Linked DNA regions of Cricetulus griseus. Each later gene encodes a partner of the first gene's protein in a complex. Links are inferred from orthologs where the notes say so. Each region holds a gene or a part of one and is shown in the gene's direction. Other genes may lie near its edges.

The links. Proteins that work in one complex are often made in the same cells at the same time.
Region 2: Efcab2 (region 1) and Ccdc153 share a complex: the UniProt entries of both Homo sapiens proteins name them as parts of the nexin-dynein regulatory complex. The link is inferred for Cricetulus griseus from reciprocal best matches to the Homo sapiens genes DRC8 and DRC12.

The regions. Positions count from the first base shown.
Region 1 is NC_048598.1:15,666,070-15,676,453, reverse strand, and holds part of Efcab2 (dynein regulatory complex protein 8), read left to right. Parts: intron 1-5,798; coding exon 5,799-5,878; intron 5,879-6,637; coding exon 6,638-6,680; intron 6,681-6,772; coding exon 6,773-6,839; intron 6,840-10,384. UniProt on the Homo sapiens protein: Component of the nexin-dynein regulatory complex (N-DRC), a key regulator of ciliary/flagellar motility which maintains the alignment and integrity of the distal axoneme and regulates microtubule sliding in motile axonemes.
Region 2 is NC_048597.1:155,927,111-155,938,161, forward strand, and holds Ccdc153 (coiled-coil domain-containing protein 153), read left to right. Parts: upstream 1-793; 5' UTR 794-1,545; intron 1,546-1,812; 5' UTR 1,813-1,822; coding exon 1,823-1,892; intron 1,893-1,918; exon of another isoform or gene 1,919-1,957; coding exon of another isoform or gene 1,958-1,962; intron 1,963-2,398; coding exon of another isoform or gene 2,399-2,403; coding exon 2,404-2,469; intron 2,470-3,563; coding exon 3,564-3,683; intron 3,684-4,138; coding exon 4,139-4,231; intron 4,232-6,159; coding exon 6,160-6,290; intron 6,291-7,274; coding exon 7,275-7,403; 3' UTR 7,404-7,460; downstream 7,461-11,051. Other genes in the region: Pdzd3 (Na(+)/H(+) exchange regulatory cofactor NHE-RF4), read right to left, coding at 8,530-8,559, 8,774-8,974, 9,098-9,304, 9,391-9,587, 9,761-9,965, 10,150-10,286, 10,381-10,570, 10,809-11,020. UniProt on the Homo sapiens protein: Component of the nexin-dynein regulatory complex (N-DRC), a key regulator of ciliary/flagellar motility which maintains the alignment and integrity of the distal axoneme and regulates microtubule sliding in motile axonemes.

The DNA.
Region 1 (10,384 bases):
AGGTTTCTACCTTACTACTAAAAGGTCCCCTAATTCTAGTCATCTCTCTCAGTACCCCCCCCACACTTGATCCCTCCTGTTCTCATCGACACCTGTCCCCAGTCCACCCAGGAAATCTCTTCTATTTCCCTTCTCATGGAGATTCATAGCCCCCATCCTGCTTTGGGCCCTCCTTATTACTTAGCCTCTCTGGGTCTGTGGACTGTAGCATGATTGTCCTTTATAGCTAATATCCACTTATGAGTGAGTACATAGCATGTTTGTCTTCTGGGTCTGGGTTACCTCACTTAGGATGATTTTTTCCATCCATATGTCTGTGAATTTCACGATGTCATTTTAAAAAATTGAATAATATTCCATTGTGTAAATGTACTATATTTTCTTTATTCATTCTTCGATTTAGAGATATCAGGTTGTTTCCAGGTTCTAGCTATCATGAATAAAGCTGCTGTGAACGTAGTTGGGCAAGGGTCCTTGTGGTAGGATGGAGTGGTATAGCTGGGTCTTGAGGTAGATTGATTCCCAATTTTCTGAGAAACCGCCATATTGATTTCCAAAGTAGATGTAGAACTTGCTCTTCTGCAAGCAATGGAGAAGTGTTTGCCTTGCTTCACATCCTTGACAGCATGAATTGTTACTTAGTTTTTTATCTTGGCCATTCTGACAGGTGTAAGATGGAATCTCAAAGTTGTTTTGATTTCCCTGATGGTTAAGAATGTTGAACATTTCTTTAAGTGTTTCTTAGCCACTTGAGATTCTTCTGTTGAGAATTCTGGGTTTAGATCTGTACTCCATTTTTAACTGGATTATTCGGTTTGTTGATGTCTAGTTTCTTGAGTTCTTTATATATTTTGGATATTATTTCTCTGTCACATTTGGAGTTGGTAAAAATCTTTTCCCTTTCTGTAGGCTGCCGTTTTGTCCTATTGATGGTTTCCTTTGCCTTACAAAAGCTTCTCAGGTTCATGAGATCCTATTTATTAATTGTCAATCTTAGTGCCTGCACTATTGATATTTTGTTCAGGAAGCTGTGTCCTGTGCTATGTGTTCAAGGCTATTCCCCACTTTCTCTTCTGTCAGGTTCAGTGTATCTGATTTTATGTTGACGTCCTTGATCAAGTTGAACTTGAGTTTTGTTCAGGGTGATAGATATGGATTGATTTGCATTCTTGTACATGCCGACCTCCAGTTAGACCAGCACTATTTTTTGTTTTCTTTTTTCCATTGTATAATTTTGGCTTCTTTGCTGAAATCAGGTGTCCATAAGTGTATGGATTTACATCTGGGTCTTCAATTTGATTCCACTAGTTAACTTGTCTGTTTTTATGCCAATGCCATGTAGTTTTTTTTTTTTTAATTGCTCTGTAGTACAGCTTAAAATCAGGGATGGTGACAGCTCTTTTTTTTGTTTGTTTGTTTTTGTTTTTGTTTTTCGAGACAGGATTTCTCTGTGTAGCTTTGGAGCCTATCCTGGCACTTGCTCTGGAGACCAGGCTGGCCTCGAACTCACAGAGATCTGCCTGCCTCTGCCTCCCAAGTGCTGGGATTAAAGGCGTGCGCCACCAACGCCTTGCCTTAGATTTTTTTTTTTTTTTTTTTTTTTTTTTTTTTTTTTTTTTAAATTGTGGGATTACTTTGAGTTTCTCTCCATTTAATGTCCTTTGTATCCCTGATGTTTCTAAGACTTTTATCATGAAGGGGTACTGGATTTTGTTAAAGGCTTTTTCAACATCTAACAAGATGATCATGAGGTAGTTTTTTCTTTCAGTTTGTTTATATGGTACATTTTGTTGACAGATTTTCATATGATGAACCATCTCTGCATCTTTGGGATGAAGCCTACTTGATCGTGGTGGATGATCTTTTTGATGTGTTCTTGGATTTGGTTTGCAAGTATTTTATTGAGTATTTTTGCATCAATGTTCAGGAGGGAAATTGGTCTGTAATTCTCTTTCTTTGTTGAATCTTTGTGTGGTTTTGGTATCAGGGTGACTGTGGCCTCATAAAATGAATTTGGCAATGTTCCTTTTATTTCTATCTTGTGGAATGAGCTGATGAGTATTGGCATTAGCTCTTCATTGAAAGTATGGTAGAATTCTGTGCTTAAAAACATCTGGCCTTGGGCTTTTCTTTCTTTCTTTTCTTTTTTGGTTGGGAGACTTTTAATGATGGCATCTATTTCCTTGGGGGTTATAGGTCTGTTTAAATTGTTTATCTGGTCTTAATTTAACTTTGGTAAGAGGTATCTATCAAGAAAATTGTCCATTTTTTTTTTTAGATTTTCTAATTTTATGGAGTACAGGATTTTGAAGTATGACCTAATGATTTGTTGACTTTCCTCATTGTCTATTTTTATGTCCCCTTTCTGTTTCTGATTTTGTTAGTTTGGATATTCTCTCTCTGTCTTTTAAATAGTTTGGGTATTTGTATATCTTGTTTATTTTCTCAAAGAACCAACTCTCTGTTTCATTAATTCTTTGTATTGTTCTATTTTTTTATTTCAGCCCTCAGTTTATTTCCTGTCTTCTTCTCCTTTTGGGCGTTTGCTTCTTTTTGTTCTAGAGCTTTCAAGTGTGGTGTTAAGTTGCTAGTATGAGATCTCCACAATTTCTTTATGCAGGTACTTAGTGCTTTGAACTTTCCTCTTAGCACAGATTTCATTGTGTCCCATAAGTTTGGGTATGTTGTGCATGCATTTCATTTCTTTCTGTCTTTCTGCCCTGACCCAATAGTCATTCAATAAGGAGATGTTCAATTTCCATGATTTTGTAGACTTTCTGTTGTTGCTGAAATACAGTTTTAATCTGTGACTGGTCTGATAGGATACAGGGAGTTATTTCAGTTTTCTTGTATCTGTTGAGACTTGCTTTGTGTCTTAGTCTGTGGTCAATTTTGGAGACAGTTTCATGAGGTGCTGAGAAGAAAGTATATTCTTTTGTGTTTGGATGAAATGTTCTATAGATATCTGTTAGGTCCATTTGGTTTACACTGTCTGTTAACTCTATTATTTCTCTGTTTACTTTTGTCTGGATAACCTGTCCATTGGTGAGAGTTGGGTATTGAAGTCTCCTACTATTAATGTGTGAGGTTCAATGGGTGATTCAAGCTTTAATAATGTTTCTTTTATAAATGTGGGTGCTCCTGCATTTGGGGCTTGGATGTTAAGGATTGAAATGTCATCTTGGTGAATTTTTCCTTTGATGAGTATGAAGTATCCTTTCCTATCACTTTTGATTAATTTTGGTTTGATGTCTATTTTGTTAGATATTAAAATAGACATACCAGCTTGCTTCTTGGGTTCATTTGCTTGGAAAAATCTTTTTCCATCACTTTAATGTCTGTTTTTGAGGTTGAAGTGTGTTTCTTGTATGCAACAGAGGTGTGGGTTCTGTTTTTGTAACCATTCTATTAGTCTGTGTCTTTTTATTTGGGAATTGAGTCCAGTGATATTGAGACATATTAATGACCAATGATTGTTACTTCCTGTTATCTTGTTGTTTTTGATGATAATTGTGTGTTTGTGTTGTGCTTCCCTTTTTTTGGTTTTGCTGATGTGAAATTATTTCCTGTGTTTCATGGGTGTAATTAACTTTCTTGGGTTGGAATTTTCCTTCTAGTACCTTCTGTAGGGCTAGATTTGTGGATAGATATTGTTTAAATTTGACTTTGCCATGGGATAGCTTGTTTTCTCTGTCTGTGATAATTGAAAAATTTGCTTTGTATAATAGTCTGGCTGTCATTTGTGGTTTCTTAGAGTCTGCAAGACATCTGTCCAGGGCCTTCTGGCCTTTTGAGTCTCCATTGAGAAGTCGGACGTAATTCTAATAAGTCTGCTTTTATATGTTACTTGGCCTTTTCCCCTTGCAGCTTTTTATATTTTTTCTTGGTTCTGTATGTTTAGAGTTTTGATTATTATGTGGCGTGGAACTTTCTTTTCTGGTCCAATCTATTAGGTGTTCTGTAACCTTCTTGTACCTTTATAGGCATGCCATTTTATAAGTTGGGAAATTTTTCTTCTATGATTTTTGGTAAAAATACTTTCTGGGCTTTTGAACTGGGATTCTTCTTTATTCCTATTATTCTTAGGTTTGGTCTTTTCATAATGTCCCAGATTTCCTGGATGTTTTGTGTAAGGATTTTTTTTTTAGATGTAACATTTTCTTTTACTGTTGTATCTATTTCTTCTATCATATCTTCAATGTTGGTGAGACTTCATGGTGTAGATTCTCTGAAGTTTCCAGGAGACACAGAGATTGACTTTTAAAAAGTCTTCCCTGAGGTTTAAACCCCAGAGTCCATAAAGACTCTACCACTGAGCCTCACCTGCATTCAGATGTTTAACCTTTAAGTCTCTGTGTTCTGGGAGTTTCAGACTACCGAGCTATATTAACATGAATTGTCAAAATGCTCATCATAGACCTTAGAGGAAGCTGAAGAAATTGTTCACATGGTACAGAAATTCTGAAACATGATGTCCCTAGATGGGTTTGATTTTCTCTGATAATGGATTCTGAAGACTCTACTCATACAGACTCATATGAACATTAAAAATAGTTGTCATTTGGATGACAGTGTATTCTACTTAATAGCCACCCATAGATTTATTTTTTGTTGAAACAATAAATCTCTTAAAAACTCATCTGTTCAATTGGGATCTATGAGCCTTTTAATAGGATTTTTGAAAGAAAGTGCAGGATTTATAGCTCCGTATAAATTGCCTGACATGGAAGTTAAGGTCAGTAGAGCTTTGTTCAGTCGGTCGGAGTTGAACCCGGAAGCAAAAAAGACTTGTTTCTTTCTCGTTCTGTAGTGCTAGGTGCCAAAAGCTCTCATCTTTAGAATAGTATTTTCTTAACTTAGGATGACAGAGCAGAGTTCTAGTACTCAGGAAAGTATTTCATAAGTACAAGAATGATTTGAGATGTAGGTCGGTCCTTGAGATGATGTATTCAGGGTTCCTCATTTCACGGAAAGACAGTGCATTTGTGCAAGTCAGAATCTGGGAGTCATTTTAGATGCCTTTTCCCCCTAATCTGTAATGGGTGAATGCTGTCACTCTGTCAAGTCTTCTTAAAGGTCACATACCCACTCTCCTCATGGCCACCACTCCAATCTGCACCATCACCCTTTGTCTGAAGTAGCCACCTCATCCACAACAGAGTGACCTTTCAAAACACACACCTATGAGACTGTCTGTGGTTTTGCATTGTTCTCAGGATAACAGGGAATGGCTGTTCTGGGGATGATAGGGTCTCTCTCCAGCCTCTTCCAGCCCAGACACTACAGTTGCCAGTGACTTCCCTGATGCGCTGATGGGAGAGGCTTCCTGTGCTCTGTGCTCCACTAGACCCACATTCCTTTGCTCATGGTGTTTGCATAGATCTAGATTTAGACATTCAAGCCAGGCATGGTGGTTCATGTCTGACATACCACCATAGGGGAGGCTGAGCAGGAGGATCATTTCAAGTTTGCATAGTAAAAACAAATTGGATACTTGCTTTTGTGTTCGGTGTGTGGGAGCACACATGCCAGAGGTTAACTCTGAGTGACAATCCACTGTGATGCAATTACACACCTTGCTTTTGACATGAGTGCTAGGAATTGAGTTTAGGTCCTCAGGGTTGAGTGGCAAGCAGGTTACTGAATTGTATGTGTCTCTCCTGCAGAAAACAAGCTCCACAAGCTGCATTTGTGTCTATAGTCTCATCACCAAGTCCTAACCTTGTCTCAGTGTTTGAAAGAAAGTAGTTGCTCAGTATATTTGTTGAATGAATAAATGACTGTTTCTAATTGTTCAGGTGGAAGAAGAGGAACCCACCGGATACATTCGTTTTGAAAAGTTTCTTCCAGTGATGACCAAAGCACTTCTGGAAAGAAAGTAAGGAAGTAAATCCAATTTTAAGACAAGATAACTAGAATGGCAGTAATTTCAAAACATTTGGCTGGCCAGGTGTGATGCCTTATGCCTGTAATTCCAGCATTGATGGGCTGAGGAAGGAGGATTGCCACAAACCTGAGGCTAGCCTTAGTTATGGAGTTTCAGGCCATCCTGAGCTACAGAGTTTTGCCTCAAAACCAAACCAAACCAAACCAAACCAAACCAAACCAAACCAAACCACTTGGCCTTTTATATTTTATTTACCCAGTCTATATCTTAGGGTAGTTTCCTCTAGCCTTTCAGTGTACTGCAGACTGGTTTAGGGATGTGCTTATAAATATAAACCATGCTAGCATTTATTAATACAAGCAAGAAATAATGAAAAGGAAAAGGAGCTACAAAACCAACAACATTGTAGTTATATTTAACTGTGAATTACTATTTAAAAATAAAAATTAACATTAGTTACTTTCCTAGCATAAGACAGCATTAGCATATGACAGTTGATTGATTGTAGATGTTTTGGTTGTAGATAAATTTATTTTTATATCAATGAGAAAATGCTAATAGGTAATACCAAACATTCCTGTGGGGTAGGTACTGTTGACTTTCATATCCAGAAATCCAAAGAAATTTCATCAAGGGAAATGCCATTAGCATAGTATATTAGTGGCTTTTATTTTGCCTAATGCAGTCATTTATCATGTAGAGACTGAGATAAATATGCTGGCATTAACTCACTTTATTGTAAAATTACAGATACAGACCAATTGGTGAAGATGTCCTTCTCAGAGCTTTTGAGGTGGGTGAACTCCAGATTATTCATGTATATGTGAAAAACTAATTCATCATATAGTATTTATTCAACAAAGAAAATATATCTACTTTCCCCAGGTTTTGGATCCAGCTAAACGAGGGTTTCTGACCAAGGACGAACTGATCAAATACATGACTGAGGAAGGTCAGAGCACTTTATTTCTTATTTGAGTAATTTATGCAAAGATAAATAGGCTTAAAGATGTTTATTTTTTAATTGTGTGTGTGTGTGTGTGTGTGTGTGTGTGTGTGTGTGTCTGTGTGTCTGTGTGTCTGTGTGTGTCTGTGCATCTGAATGCAGTACCCATAGAGACCAGAAGCATCATGTCCCCTGTAGCTAAAGTTACAGATGGTTGCCAGCAACCTGACATGGATACTGGAAACTGAACTCAGGTTCTTGGCAAGAACAGTGCATGGTTTTAACTGCTGAACCATCTCTCCAGCCCAATTAATAAGTTCTAAACAATTATGCAAAAGTTATGGGAGGCGATACTTTAAAAGCAATTGTTTGGTTAAATAATTTATTTATTATTCCTATTATTTTGGTTTGGTATTTGATTTTGTGTAATAGAAGTGTAATGATTACTTGTATAAATTGTGTTTACTTTATTCACTTAAAATATTTTCTGAATAAAAGACATGCCACTTAATATGAGCTGTCAATCATAAACCAATGCCTTTTTAGACAGAAGATTTGAATTATAGTATATAAAAATTTCTTTCAAAAGACTGTCTTCGGTGGTAAAGTTGCAAACAATATAGCCTAATTGAATGCAAATTCACGCAAAACTGTATTTTCTTACGATAATGGGACCTCCTCTGACAAATACCTATATATTTCCTTAAATGTTCTCTTTTTATGTCAATATATATATGTGTGTGTGTGTTTCCGCTAACTGTAAGCAGCATGATGGACAATCATTAATGCTGTTCAGACACACACACCCTGCACTAAGGAAGGAGTTCTGCTTCCTCTACACACACACACACACACACACACACACCCTGCACTATCTTCAGCTCCCAGATGCACAGGCCACGTGGTGAGTGATGCAACAGTCACCCATCAGTTGGACATGGACATGGGTATCATTTTGAGCAAGGAGACCAGTACTGGAAGCTCTATGCACACCTGATTTGGCCATTTTAACTCAGTTCCCCCTCAGGAAACAGGAAGTGAGAGAAGGAGTAAGATGAAAGCCATAGCTGCCATCCAGGATCCCCTACTATGTTAAAATCATCTGAGTAGTTAACTTAACTAATTAACCCAGGATGAAAGGAAGTTAACCCTAAAGTATATTGGGCCACATGAAATTAATAAAAACAGCCAAAGAGGTTGAGTCATTCCCACTGTGTGCCTGTTGTATGTTTATTGGTAAAGCACAGTGGACGGTAATGACACTGGAATCTGATCCCTTTCTTGAGAAGCAAAGCTAACTTGTGAAATAGATCAATATGAGACATTAGAAAAATAGCTATCAGAAGATCAATGCAAGCTGAAACTAGCCTGGAAAGGTTGGCCTGGGAAGAGAGAATAGCTTCCTTGAGAAGGTAGGTTTATTCGTTTGCTTTTGTTTTGAGACAGGGTTGCATTCTATAACCCAGATGAATCTGGTGTTTACTACGTATGCCAGGCTGGCATTAAACTCAAGGCAATTCTCCTGCTTCAGCCTCTCAGATGGGATTACAGATGGGAGCCACCATTCTGTGCTTCAGAAGATAGGGTGAGCCATCCAGGGCAGGCGTAGTGAGATCTTATATGTTATAGCACCCTAAGAAAGGATGAGCCATCCAGGGCAGGCGTAGTGAGGTCATCTATGTTATAGCACCCTAAGATAGGATGAGCCATCCAGGGCAGGCGTAGTGAGGTCATCTATGTTATAGCATCCTAAGATAGGATGAGCCATCCAGGGCAGGCGTAGTGAGGTCATCTATGTTATAGCATCCTAAGATGGGATGAGCCATCCAGGGCAGGCGTAGTGAGGTCATCTATGTTATAGCATCCTAAGATGGGATGAGCCATCCAGGGCAGGCGTAGTGAGGTCATCTATGTTATAGCATCCTAAGATGGGATGAGCCATCCAGGGCAGGCGTAGTGAGGTCATCTATGTTATAGCATCCTAAGATAGGATGAGCCATCCAGGGCAGGCGTAGTGAGGTCATCTATGTTATAGCATCCTAAGATGGGATGAGCCATCCAGGGCAGGCGTAGTGAGGTCATGTATGTTATAGCACCCTAAGATAGGATGAGCCATCCAGGGCAGGCGTAGTGAGGTCATCTATGTTATAGCACCCTAAGATGGGATGAGCCATCCAGGGCAGGCGTAGTGAGGTCATCTATGTTATAGCACCCTCACACATCATAGTATCAGCATGTGAGTTTCAACAGATGCGCTATGAATGAACAAATGAGAAGCTGATTGAAGACAGATTCAGTTGGTTTGTGGGAAATGGAGAAATGGAACAGAATCTGGAAGGAAGGCAGCCAGGTACAAGGAAGAAGGCGAGCTCAGCCAGCCTTTGAGTCTTGTTGGAGGGAGGGAGGTGGTTTGGGGCTGAATTGTAGAGGCCTGCTCTTGAGCTCAGGGCATCCCCTGGGCGGTGGAGAGTTGGACTGAGTCACCCATTGTAGCAGTGCTGTGGGAAAGTGATTCTGGTGCTGGTCAGTTTGTAGGTGAGTAAGACAGGTGCAGCCAGCGAGATGAGCAGGGGGCTCCTTCAGCATTCCCAGGGTTCCCTAATACAGGCCTGGCCTGGCACAAGGACTAGAAAAGGGAATTAATGCAGTATAACTTTATCACAGGACCCTGGGCCATGGTGAATAACAGAGGGCAGGGGACGAAAATGGATGACGAGTATAAAGGAACACCAGGCTTTTGCCCTGGACCATGGATGTCAATAATAGTAATGCTACCGACTGAGACAGTGAAGTCAGGCACTACGGTACTGTGGGTAGGGATGACATGGCCATGTGGGTCACAGGAATATGCTTCATGAGAACTTCCAGGAAGGCATACTTACAGAGTTCTTGTACTCCAGGGCAACTGTTGCCTATCCTAATAGACAGAGCCTGCATCAGTTCTTTTCAGAGAAGGATATAAATGGTTTCAGTTATTTATTCAACATTATTCAATTTCTTCCAAGTTGTCTGAGCCAGTATATTTGTTAGGTACATATAAGATGCACTGTGATATCTTAATGCATCATTATTATTGGATGGAAAACACTCTTCCTCTAAGTACATTTGCAGCTGCCTAGTTCAGTAAAATGGTTGCTTAAGAAATGATATATTTTTTTAAGAGAGATGGTTTTTCTGTGTATCACTGATTGTCCTGGAACTCTCTCTGTAGACCAGGCTGGCCTTGAACAAAGAGATCCACTTGCCTGTGCCTTCTCAGTGCTGGGATTAAAGGTGTGCGCCACAGGCCTGGCTAAGAAGTGCTATTTTGGTTCTGAAAATTCCAAATTGTTTTTAAGTGTATCCAAGCTTTTGGACTATAAAGTTACTTCCATGTCCTCTCATAGTATCCACAGAACAGCCAACACAACTTTAAGTTTAAGAATGTACATTCTAAATGCCCAGGAGATTGTAAGATAGACACCATAAACCACACTGAGTGTACCTACAAGTACCTGTCAAGTATCTACCAGACAGAGTTCATGTGTGTCCAGTATGTATATTGCATCAGA
Region 2 (11,051 bases), on another chromosome or scaffold:
CGGTTCCAGGATGGAGCCCTCCCAGATGGAGGGGGCAATAGCAAGCTACCCCATCACACTCTCTACCCACAATCAATTTTTTAAATCATATGCAAGATGCTAGAAGGCATCCCCCAAAGAGAATCTCCCCCATATTGTGCAAGAAATACTAAACTGCAAAATTTAGGAGACTCTGGTCAAAGCAAGTCCACTAGAGGGAGCACTAACCAACTCTATGCTGCAGAGAGCTTGGGGGCTTCTAAACACCCTGTCTGCAGAGTAACCTCACAGAGAAATAGGGAGAGTGAGACAATTGTTGAGCGGGAGAGAAAGAAGTCCTAGAAACACACCACTGAGTATATATATATATATTATATATATATATATATAATATATATATATATATATATCCTTATTTTACATAGCAATCTCGGTCCTGTCTTCCCATGCCCACCCACCCCCATCCCATTCCCACTGCCGTCCACTCCCCAGGGAGGGTAAAGCCTTCCCAGGGGGATCATCAAAGTCTGTCACATCATTTGGGGCAAGGCCTAGGCCCTCCCCCATGTATCTAGGCTGAGAGAGTATCCCTCCATAGGGAATGGGCTCCCAAAGTCTGTGCACTAGGATAAATACCGGTTCCACTGCCAGAGGCCCCATAGACTGCCCTGGCCTCCCAACTGACACCTATCTTCAGGGGGCCTGGTTGGGTCCTATGCTGGTTCCCCAGATGTCAGACTGGGGTCCGTGTGTTCCCACTTGCTCAGGTCAGCTGTTTCTGTGAGTTTCCCCAGCATGGTCTTGACCCCTTTGCTCATCCCTCCTCCCTCTCTACAACTGGACTCCAGGAGGGAACTACAAAACTTATACACCAAGAAATCCAAGCTGAGCAAAATTAAGTAGCTCAGTTCGCAACTCTGCCTAATTTGTGGCCTCCTTTCTGGGTCAGCATCCCCAAGTCCACAGCTCTTCTCTGTTCTCATTTCTCTTAAGTGGAAAACTCTCAACTACCTGTGCCAGCACGTGTTTCCTGCACAAGCCACAGATAGCATTTCTGAAGTAGACCTCAAGTTCTAAAGCAAATCATGTCACTGTGTTCATGAGACCTCGGGATATAAAGTACCTGCAATGGCTACTTTCCCTGCCTTTCTTCTCCATCTGTAAAGCACTAGCCTCTCACACTGGATGCTTCTAGATTTCTAGACTGCAAAGTCTCCAGATGATAGGCAGTGCCTGTGTAGACATGAATAATAGCTATTCAGCTCCAAGACCTTTTCTTTGCGGGTAGGAGGGGAATCTACCTACACAGGACCTTTGTGTGAGTCAATTTAGCCCATTCTACCTGCCTATGAACACAGTGTTTCCCGGTTGCCTGGGCAGCAGGCAGTCTCCAGAAACCCAACATCCCAGTTCTTGGTCCTGCCTCTTGGGGAAGTTTTTCAGCCTGGATTGGCTCCCAGGACCCAGGCTCCTTCCTCCCTAGGCTCAATCTGCTTGGGACTCTATCTTTCCCAAGGAGTGTTATTCCCCAGGGAGACAGCACTCAAGCAAGAGAAGGTCCTCCAGGTAGGAAGGGGAAGAATAAGCATGTTGGGGAGACAGAAGGGACCAGGTCCAGAGATTTATCTTCTCTAAAAGGGCTGTCTGCTGCCCATAGAATTGCTCTACCTCCCAGCCTTGCCTGGGGTTCCCAGGAGACCAAGAACCAAAGCTTCTAGAAAGTGTAAGATACACTGGAAGACTAGAATTCTGACTGCCCCAAGACCCCTACCTCTAGGAGTCAGGAGAGCATTTCTGTATGCAGACCTACACAGAAGGTCTTCCCTCCCCCAGGGCAGCAAGGATGCCACCTAAAACCAAAGGAAAGGGGAGAAAAACTGGGGCACAGAAGAAGAAAAAAAAATCAAGTCCTGGTGAGTCACAGGGCGTGTCTGTGACACAAAGGTCCTCGGAGGGAATCCAGCCCTCTGGGCAACAAATGGAGTGGGTTTGTTTTGGTTTTGTCTTTTGTTCTTTTGACACAGGGTCACTATGGGACCCAGGCTGCCCCAGTCTTCATAGTGACAGGATTACAGGCGTTGCTACCACACTTGGCTAGGGTGAAGCTTCCTGGCCCTCCTCTGCAGATCCTTGCGTCCAGATTCCATGGGGCTGAGGAAGTGGAGAATGCCTCCTTCCCAAATTCCCCCTGGAGCCCCATCTAGTTCTTTGCCCTCATCATATTTTTCACCCTTATTTTGAGCACCCACCGTGCACATGGTGGGTGAAGACTCTGCCACTCAGCCGTAAATTTGTCAGATTTGCCATTGGGCCTCCCTCATCCAGCTATCTTCCTCCATCACGAAGGAAGAAGTGCAGGTGCAGAGCAGCACTGGGGTGAGGCCGAGAGAAGGATAACCTGAGACTATTGTCTTGCCAGAACAGATGCAGAGGCTGAGGCCAAGCATAGGATGGTCCTGCTGGAGAAGGAGCTGCTTCAGGACCACTTGGGTAAGAAGTTTGAAGCCTCAGGAGATGGCAGAGATAGAAGTCCTAGTTAGGGTCATCGTTGCTGTGATGAAACACCATGACCAAATCAACTTGGGGAGGAAAGGGTTTATTTGGCTTAAGCTTCCAAATCACTGTTTATTATTGAAGAAAGTCAGGATAGGAATCCGAGTAGGGCAGGATCCTGGAGGCAGGAGCTGATACAGAGGTCATGAAGGGTTGCTGCTTACTGCCTTGCTTCACATGGCTTGCTCAGCCTGCTTCCCTTTTTGTTGTTGTTGTTTTATTTTGTTTTGTTTTTCGGTTTTTCGAGACAGGGTTTCTCTGTGTAGCTTTGGAGCCTATCCTGACACTCGCTCTGGAGACCAGGCTGGCCTCGGACTCACAGAGATCCGCCTGCCTCTGCCTCCCGAGTGCTGGGATTAAGGCGTGCGCCACCAATGCCCAGCTCAGCCTGCTTTCTTATAGAACGCAGGACCACCAGCTCAGTGGTGGCACCATCCACAGTGGGTAGGCCCTCCCCATTAGTCACTAATTAAGAAAATGCCCTAAAATCTTGCCTACAGCCTGATCTTATGGAAGCATTTTCTCAGTTGAGGCTACCTCTTCTCTAATGGCTCTAGCTTATGTCAAGTTGACAATAAACTAGCCACCCAATGTATGGAACATAGGGCATTTCTGGGTTCTTGGGGAACTGGAAAGTTTGAACTGTGTGCAGGGCTAAACCAAGATAGCCATTAATCTATTTGCAAGATTGTGAGGAAGGGCTAGGCAGTGAAGATCAATGAAAGAAGCTATCTCCCACCCCTTCCCCCAGCTGGGAATAGAATCACAACTTCATTCATGATAGGTAAGTAGTCTACCATGGAGCTAACCTGCAACTTGGGGAAGCCATTGTCTTATAGTGGCCAGAACATGGAGGGATTATTGACTTAGGAATGAAAACCCTATGGGTTTTGGGGCAACTAATAAAGAGTATACGAAATTGACACCTGTCACCAAGTTCACAGAGGTGAACTTAGTTCATGGAGGCCATGGTGATTGGTTCTGTAGGACCCACAGCCAGACCTGAGCATGGCTCTTGACACTGTCCACAGCTCTCCAGAGGGATGAGACCCGCAGAGCCAAGGCTTCTGAAGAGAGGCTGAAGCAGAGGTTGCAAGGGCTAGAAGCTGAACTGGAGAAGGCCCAAAGTGAAAGGGATGCTGTCTATGCAGGTATGATTTGATTGGCCAGGTGGGCAGGAGACAAAGGCATGGAAGAGGACAACCATGAAAATTGGGGAATTCAAGGAAGGGAAATGAAGAGGAATCTAACTGCCATACCCTACCCTCTGCTGTCCCTGCATAGGCAGGGTCCTGAGAACCAAAGACAGATCCCTGGCAGAATGCAGATTACCACATTCTAGAATGTCTAATGCTGCACGCTTGATATCTGTGTGAAACACAATGTAGCCATGGCCCTTTACCTTTATTTTTGGGAGTAAGTGGCAAGAAGGGCCAGGGTCCCCACTTTTAAGCTGATGTGTGGGGTAGGGGGACGTCTGGTTTCCAATCTCCCAAATTTTCAAGGTCTCCCAAGTTTCTTAGTTCTGTTCCTTGAGTGAGACTTTTCCCCACATGCAACCTCATTTCCTTTCTTCATGCCTCTATCCCTATGGTTCCTACCTCAGAGATGAGCCGCCAGCGCCGGGCCCTGCAAGAGGAGTTGAGGACCCGAAGCAAGCAGCTGGAGGAGGAAGTGAGAAGCCTACGGGAGCAGCTAGGTAGTCCCCATCGCTCACTCTTATTCCCCAGGCTCACAAACAATCATGGAAGAGTGGACTTGGGAGGTCCTTCACTTGCTGTCTACAGTCTTCTGGTTGAATTTTAACTAGGGTCACCTTCACCCTAGCTTTTCTCTGAATTGAGAGTTCAGTGGCACAAACCCCTATGTGAGGGGCTGGACTTGGCCTCTCTGGGAGTTTGCTCAGTACTTAAGAGCACTTGTTCTTACAGAGAACCTGAGCCAGCATCCTCATAGTGGCTCACAAACCATCTGTAACCTAAGTGATAGGGGATCTAATTAAAGTCCTCTTCTGACCTCCACAGACACCCACAGGATGCACATACATACATGCAGGCAAAGCACTCATACACATAAAATAACAAAATAAATAACTCAAAAAAATAAAATAAAAAGCCCTCCAAGATAGAAGTAAGGAAAGGTAGGACTCTCACCCCTTTTCCCCCTTTGCTTAATCTCCCCAAACCCAGCAGTTACCCCCTTCACTGCCTTGTCCATCCTAAGCAAAACACATTTCTTGTTAGTTTAGCTGACCTTTGCAACCAAACTACAGAAAACAGTAGACTTAATTTATTTTAGTATCTTCAAACTTGGGCACCTGGTAGAAGGCCTTAAATTACTACTTGTTAAATCAGTGAATATACCAATTAAATAGGAAAACAGGTCAGAAGAGGGCATCAGATCCCCTGGAACTGGAGTTAAAGATGATTTTGAGTCACTGGGAACAAAACCTGGGTGCTCTTAAACACTGGGCATTGCTCCATCCCCTCCTGACTCTTTGTAGTCCTCAAAAAGCCCAAGGTGGCCTCGAACTCACAGTGATCCTCCAGCCTCAGTCTCCTGAGTTGTAGGATTACAGATGTGAGCTACCACATCCAAAATATCTTCAGTTTCCGCTATAAATATTCATGAACTGCTTATACAGGCCAGGGATTCCATCTCTAACATTGGCCTTCTTTCAAATTAAAATTCAACATTTATTGAACACCTGCTACATTAGGTGTTTTGTCATCCATTTTCACATTTAAGAGTCATAGCAAACAAGAGGAACGTATATCATTTTCTCTCCAAAGATAAAGAAGGGGCTAGAGAAAGGGTTCAATGATTATGAACACTGGCTGCTCTTCCTGAGGGCCTGGCTTTGTTCCCAGCACCCACATGGTGACTTACAACCATTGTAATTCCAGTTTCAGGAGATCCAATCCAATGCCCTCATCTGTCCTCCACAGGCACCTGCATACATATACACACATGGGGAGGGGGGGAGGGGAGGGATAAAAGTTTTTTAACAGTTTATTTATTAAGTATAGTGTTCTGCCTGCATGCATGCCTGCACACCAGAAGAGGGCAGCAGATCTCATTATAGATGGTTGTGAGCCACCATGAGGGTGCTAGGAGTTCAACTCAGAACCTCTGGAAGAGCAGCCAGTGCTCTGAGCCATCTCTCCATCCCAATAAAATTATTTTTAAAATCCAGATATAAAATTAAAAATAAAAATATGTATAAAGATAGAGAAACTGCACCACATTAGTTGGCACAAGTCTATAATCCCAACCCTGGGAGATAGAGGGAGGACGATCTGGAGTGCAAGGTTGTCCTTGGCTACATGGGGAGTTTAAGGCCAGTCTGGGCTACATAAGACCCTGTCTTAAACAAAACAAAGCCAAACATTTAAGTCATGGAGACCCAGAGATACTTGTCCCATGCTGTATATGTAACAATCACCAGACTTTGGACCCGTCTCCTGTCTCAAGACCTCTACTCACTCTGCCATACCTCAGTGAGTCCTTATAGACCTGGGGGAAGTTGATGACCCTAAAGTCTGTAATGACTCTGTCAAGGTTGGTTACTGCTCTTGGTGTAGTGTCACCATCCTGTCCTCTTTATCTTTCTGCCCTGCACCCTAGAAACATGCCAAAAGGAGGCTAAGACAGCAAGGGAAGAGGCTGAGCAAGCCCTCAGAGAGCAAGATGAAACCCTGTCTCAGCTTCGTGCCCACGTGGCAAACATGGAGGCCGAGTATGAAGAAATCTTGCATGTAAGCACCACCCCCTGGAAGCCATCTTCTCAGGATCCCATAACCCTCCATCCCTATGCTCCCAACTAGTGTGATGACCCACAACCCAAGGGAGCCATCTAAGTATAAACAGAAGATACAACCATTGACAGAGCCAGTGACTTATAATCCCAGTACTTGGGTGGCTAAGGCAGGAAGATTTCAAGTTCAAGGTCAACACTGGCTACAATGTGCTTGCTATATAGCTGCTACATAGTGAGACCTAGACCAAAATAATCAGGGCCTGTGAGTATAGGTCAATGGTAGAGCTCTCACTAGTATGCAAGGCCATGGGTTCAACCTTCCCAAAAGAGGGGAGGGGAGGGGAGCAGGAAGAGGAATGGGGAGGAGGAGGAGCAGGGAACAAAAGGAGTAGCACAGGTTTGTAATCCTACTATTCAGGAGGCTGAGGCAGGAGGATCATAGGTTCAATCAAGACCAACCTAGGTACAGAGTTCAAGGTCAGTCTAGGCAGTATAGTAAGAGATTCCACCTCAAAATAAAAGGTAAAAAGAGGGTTTGATGGACAGCTCAGTGGACAGGGTGCTTGTCTAGCATGTATGAGGCCTTAGTTCCATCCTGAGTGCTGAAGAGAGAGAGAATAATGGGCAGCCAGGAAAGGTAGCTCATGCTTGCAATTCAGTACTTTGGGAAACTGAGGCAGGAGAATTCTGAGTTCAAAGCCAGCCAGGATACAAAGCAAGGGTATCTTACAGAAGAAAGGAAGGAGGGAGGAAAGGAAAGAAGGAAGGAAGGAAGGAAGGAAGGAAGGAAGGAAACGAGAAGGAAAGGAAAGGAAAGGAAAGGAAAAGGAAGAAGGGAAGGAAAGGGAAAGGAAGGAAGGGAAGGGAAGGAAAGGGAAGGAAGGGAAGCCATTGGCAAAGAACTATTCCTAACCAAGCTGGGCAACCTAAGGCAACATTCCCCCTTCCCTGTCTCCGGGAACTGAGAGCTTGTTGTTCACAGGGCAGCCTGGACTGTCTCTTGGCCAAGCTGAGAGCTGCCAAGCCTCAGTGGGATGCAGCTGTGCTGAGACTCCACACCAGGCACAAGGAGCAACTACGTCAGTTTGCTCTCAACCCCCTGGAACTTTGAAGCCATTGGCCCCTAATTTCTGAGGCCTAGCAATAAAGCGACTTGGAGTAGAATTCATCAGAAGTGTGGATTGTGGCCTTTAGCATTGAGGAACAGCTCTCGTGGGGACATCTATATTCTGGGTTAACCCCATTGTCCCACTGTTCTAAACACTGAACAATAAGAAATGGAAAAGGTTCTAAACCCTCTCCTACAGAAACTAGATCCCATTCCCTTAAGCCTGGAGCACCTTTGGTTCCTTTAAACTACCATGGCTTATCCTCACTAAGAAAAACACAAAGCCAGATGTCCATGGAAAGACTGCATATATATATATATATATATATATATATATATATATATGTATGTATGTATGTATGTATGTATGTATTTATTTATTTATTTATTTATTTGGACAGTGGCATACTAAGGTGTTCACGTAGAGGCTAGAGGACAACTCCCAGGAATTGGTTCTCTCCTTCTACCAACAGGGTTCTGAGGATTGAACTTGGGTTGTCAGGCTTAGCAGCAAACACCTTTACCAACTGAGCCATCTCACTGGCCCACTGGGAAAGGCTGTAATAGGACATTACAGTGGCCAGGAACCAGCTCCCAAGTTTCTTTTTCTTTTTAGTTTTATGAGACAGGGTTTCTGTGTAGTTTTGGAGCCTGTCCTGGAACTAGCTCTTGTAGACCAGGCTGTCCTCAAAGTCACAGAGATCTGCCTGTCAAAGTCACAGAGATCTGCCTGCTGGCTCCAAGTTTCTAAGATGTCCACAGAAGGAAAATATGGCTGATCTCCAAATTCTCATGCCATTTAACACTGGAGTCATAGCTAGCCTAAGTTCTCAATGGCTTTGATCCTAAATGGCTCCACAGCATCACCTTCTTGGGCAGAAGAAATTCATCTTTGTAGCACAGGTCCTCAAAACTTCTACAAAACATCCCGTGGAAACTTGGGCTCCCTCATGAGTCCTCACCCCTCTGCTGGAGGTAGGTGCCTCCCAAGCAGTCATGTGATCATTGGAGTCTGAATTTTCCAAGTCCCACTTCCCATTTGGGGAGGTCATTCCTGGCTCCCTCCACCTCAGGGTGCAGAGCAAGGGCACGAAAGCCATTAGGCAAGTCTGTGCCAAGCAGGCATGTCCTATAGCAGCTCTGCAGCCAGGCTCCAGTCCTACAAGGAGAGAAGGACAGAGTCAGCCTGGGACCAGAAGGTTTCATTTTCCTGCTACAACATGTTGTGACTGCTCAGGAATGGGACTTGTTTGATGGATCCTCTGCCCCCACCTCCTACGACCTACAGTTCCCCCCTACACATCCCACAGTGCTCCACCCAGCAACCCTCCTCTCTGTCCTTTTCATAGCTCCATCTGTTTCTTTGACTTCACCTTTCCAGACTCGGAGGAAATCCAGGCTTCTAAGCCCTGCAGATTCCTAGCTGCCAGCTTCAAGCAGAGGGGTGGCTCGGCCTCAGCCAGCTGCTGAAGCCTATCCAGGTCACTGTCACCACCCACAGGGTATCCATTCACCTCCAAAATTGCATCTCCCATTTGCAGCCCTGCTCGGGCAGCTGAGCCTCCTGGGGTCACCTGGCAGTATTGGGGGGGCACAGAAACATTGGTCAAGTGTTCTAAGGCTGGGCATGTAGATGGGCAGCAGAAGGTAGGTGATGAACGATGGAAAGAGGCCAACGTGGGTGGGGCGTCAGTCACCTGGGAGATGAAGAGACAAGGCCCACTGGCCACGAAGCAGAGTCTGAATCCATAGCCACCTCCAGCCCCAGGGTACAAGAAGCATTGGCGGGAGCCAACAGTGTCAGAAGGCTCAGCTGCATCTTCAACTAGATGATCCTTGGTTTCCGCCAGAGGGGAGTCAGCAATCTCTGTGTTCTCCAAGAAGAGGAGAGGAGACAGCCGTACCTGGTAGTGGGGGCAGAGAGAGCAAACCTGTGGCACTTGAGCCCTGCTCCATCCCTACCCCCTCCCTAACCCTGTCACTTACGCACCATGCTGAAGAAGCGGTCAGCCTCAGGATCAACGACAATAAGGGAGACACAAGAGCCCTGTGCTCGGATCCTAGACACGGTTTCCTCATGGCCCAGCCCGTCCACACTTTCCCCAGCCACAGCCACCAGGCGGTCTCCAGCCTTCATCCCAGCCTTGTCAGCTGGCAGTCCTGGGTCCACATCCCACAAGAACTGCCCTGGGACATAGACATATTCACTTCTCCTCCCTGACTCACCCCATGCTCTCCCGGGGACACTGAGAAGAGTGCAACTGGATATATATGACCATCCTAAGGCCCACTTACACACACACACACACACACACACACACACACACACACACACACACACACCTCGGGCTGCCACTCACCAAGGCGACCATCCAGGCCCTTCTCCTCCCGGAGCAGGAACCCAAAGCCTTGAGGTCCTTTCTCTATGTTTAGACACCGGGGCTTGGCAGGCAGTGCCCAGCCCTCTGCCAGGGGTGCAGCAAGAGGCATTCCCAGCTGATGACACTGTTCCTCTACCTCCGGCCCCGCCACCAGCAGAGTCACCTGATCTCCACTCTGCGAAAGCTGTGGGGACCCAGCAAGAGTAGAAGCATGAACCATCCATGGGGGGGATGGAGAGGTAGATATCTCCTCAGCACCTCCCCCCAGGCCCACACAAACTGTAGAGAAAAGAAAAAGAGGGGCGACGTATACAGACCCTCAGATCAGGAGGCGGGGTTCACGTAGCAGCCGCCACAGGAAGCCCTACCTTCCTACTGAGCTGGTTGGAAGTGAACTTCTCCACACAGACCCCATTCACTTCTAACAGCCGGGCCCCAGGGGGCACTCCTGCTCTCTCAGCAGCTCCTCCTGAACTGAGCACCAGCCAGAAAGGGCCCCGATTTCCTAAAGGCAGACAAAGTAACTCCCAGTCTGCTCCTTGCCTGGAACAGAGTCTGAATTTCCCATCTCTGACAATCCCATCTGGCCCTAAGCTCACCATGGGTGATGCTGAAACCAAAGCCACCTTCGTCTTTTACTATGTGGCACAACCGGGGCCTGACCTCTGGGCCTAGGGCAGGACAACAGAAGACATCGCTCCCCTGCTGAGCGCGCACCACATCATGTGCATGTTGCGCTAAGACTGTCAGCAAGACCCGGGGACCGCTGGCCCGGATGCAGCGTACTACCTATAAAAGGACATGGGAGAGAGGTTGGCCCCCTGGTGGGATCCCAGGACCCCCTTAGAATTTGTATTTCCATTGTAGAAATCAGTTCTGTAGGAGTCTTTATAAAGCGCTCTAACTGGGTACCTCCGAATCATGGGGACTAGGGAGAGTGAGGCTTGGCCAATGCATTAGAGTGCCCAGGCAAAGAAGTGCTATGGAGTGTTCCTTTGTGCCACAAGAAGTCTCAGCCCAGCCTCACCATCGCATAGTCCTCGTGTTCCACGTTCTTATTGTTCACCGCTAGGATCCGGTCTCCTTCCCGGAGACCATGACGTTGGGCAGAAGAGCCTGGATCTACCCTGCACACCACATGGTCAGCCTTGCCCAGCTGCTGCTGCAGATGGAACCCAAAACTCTTTTCCTCCTCTTTGCTCAACAGACAGAAGCGAGGCCGCCGCAGGTTCCAGGGGTCTAGAGGAGGAGGTAGACAGCAAAAAAAAGG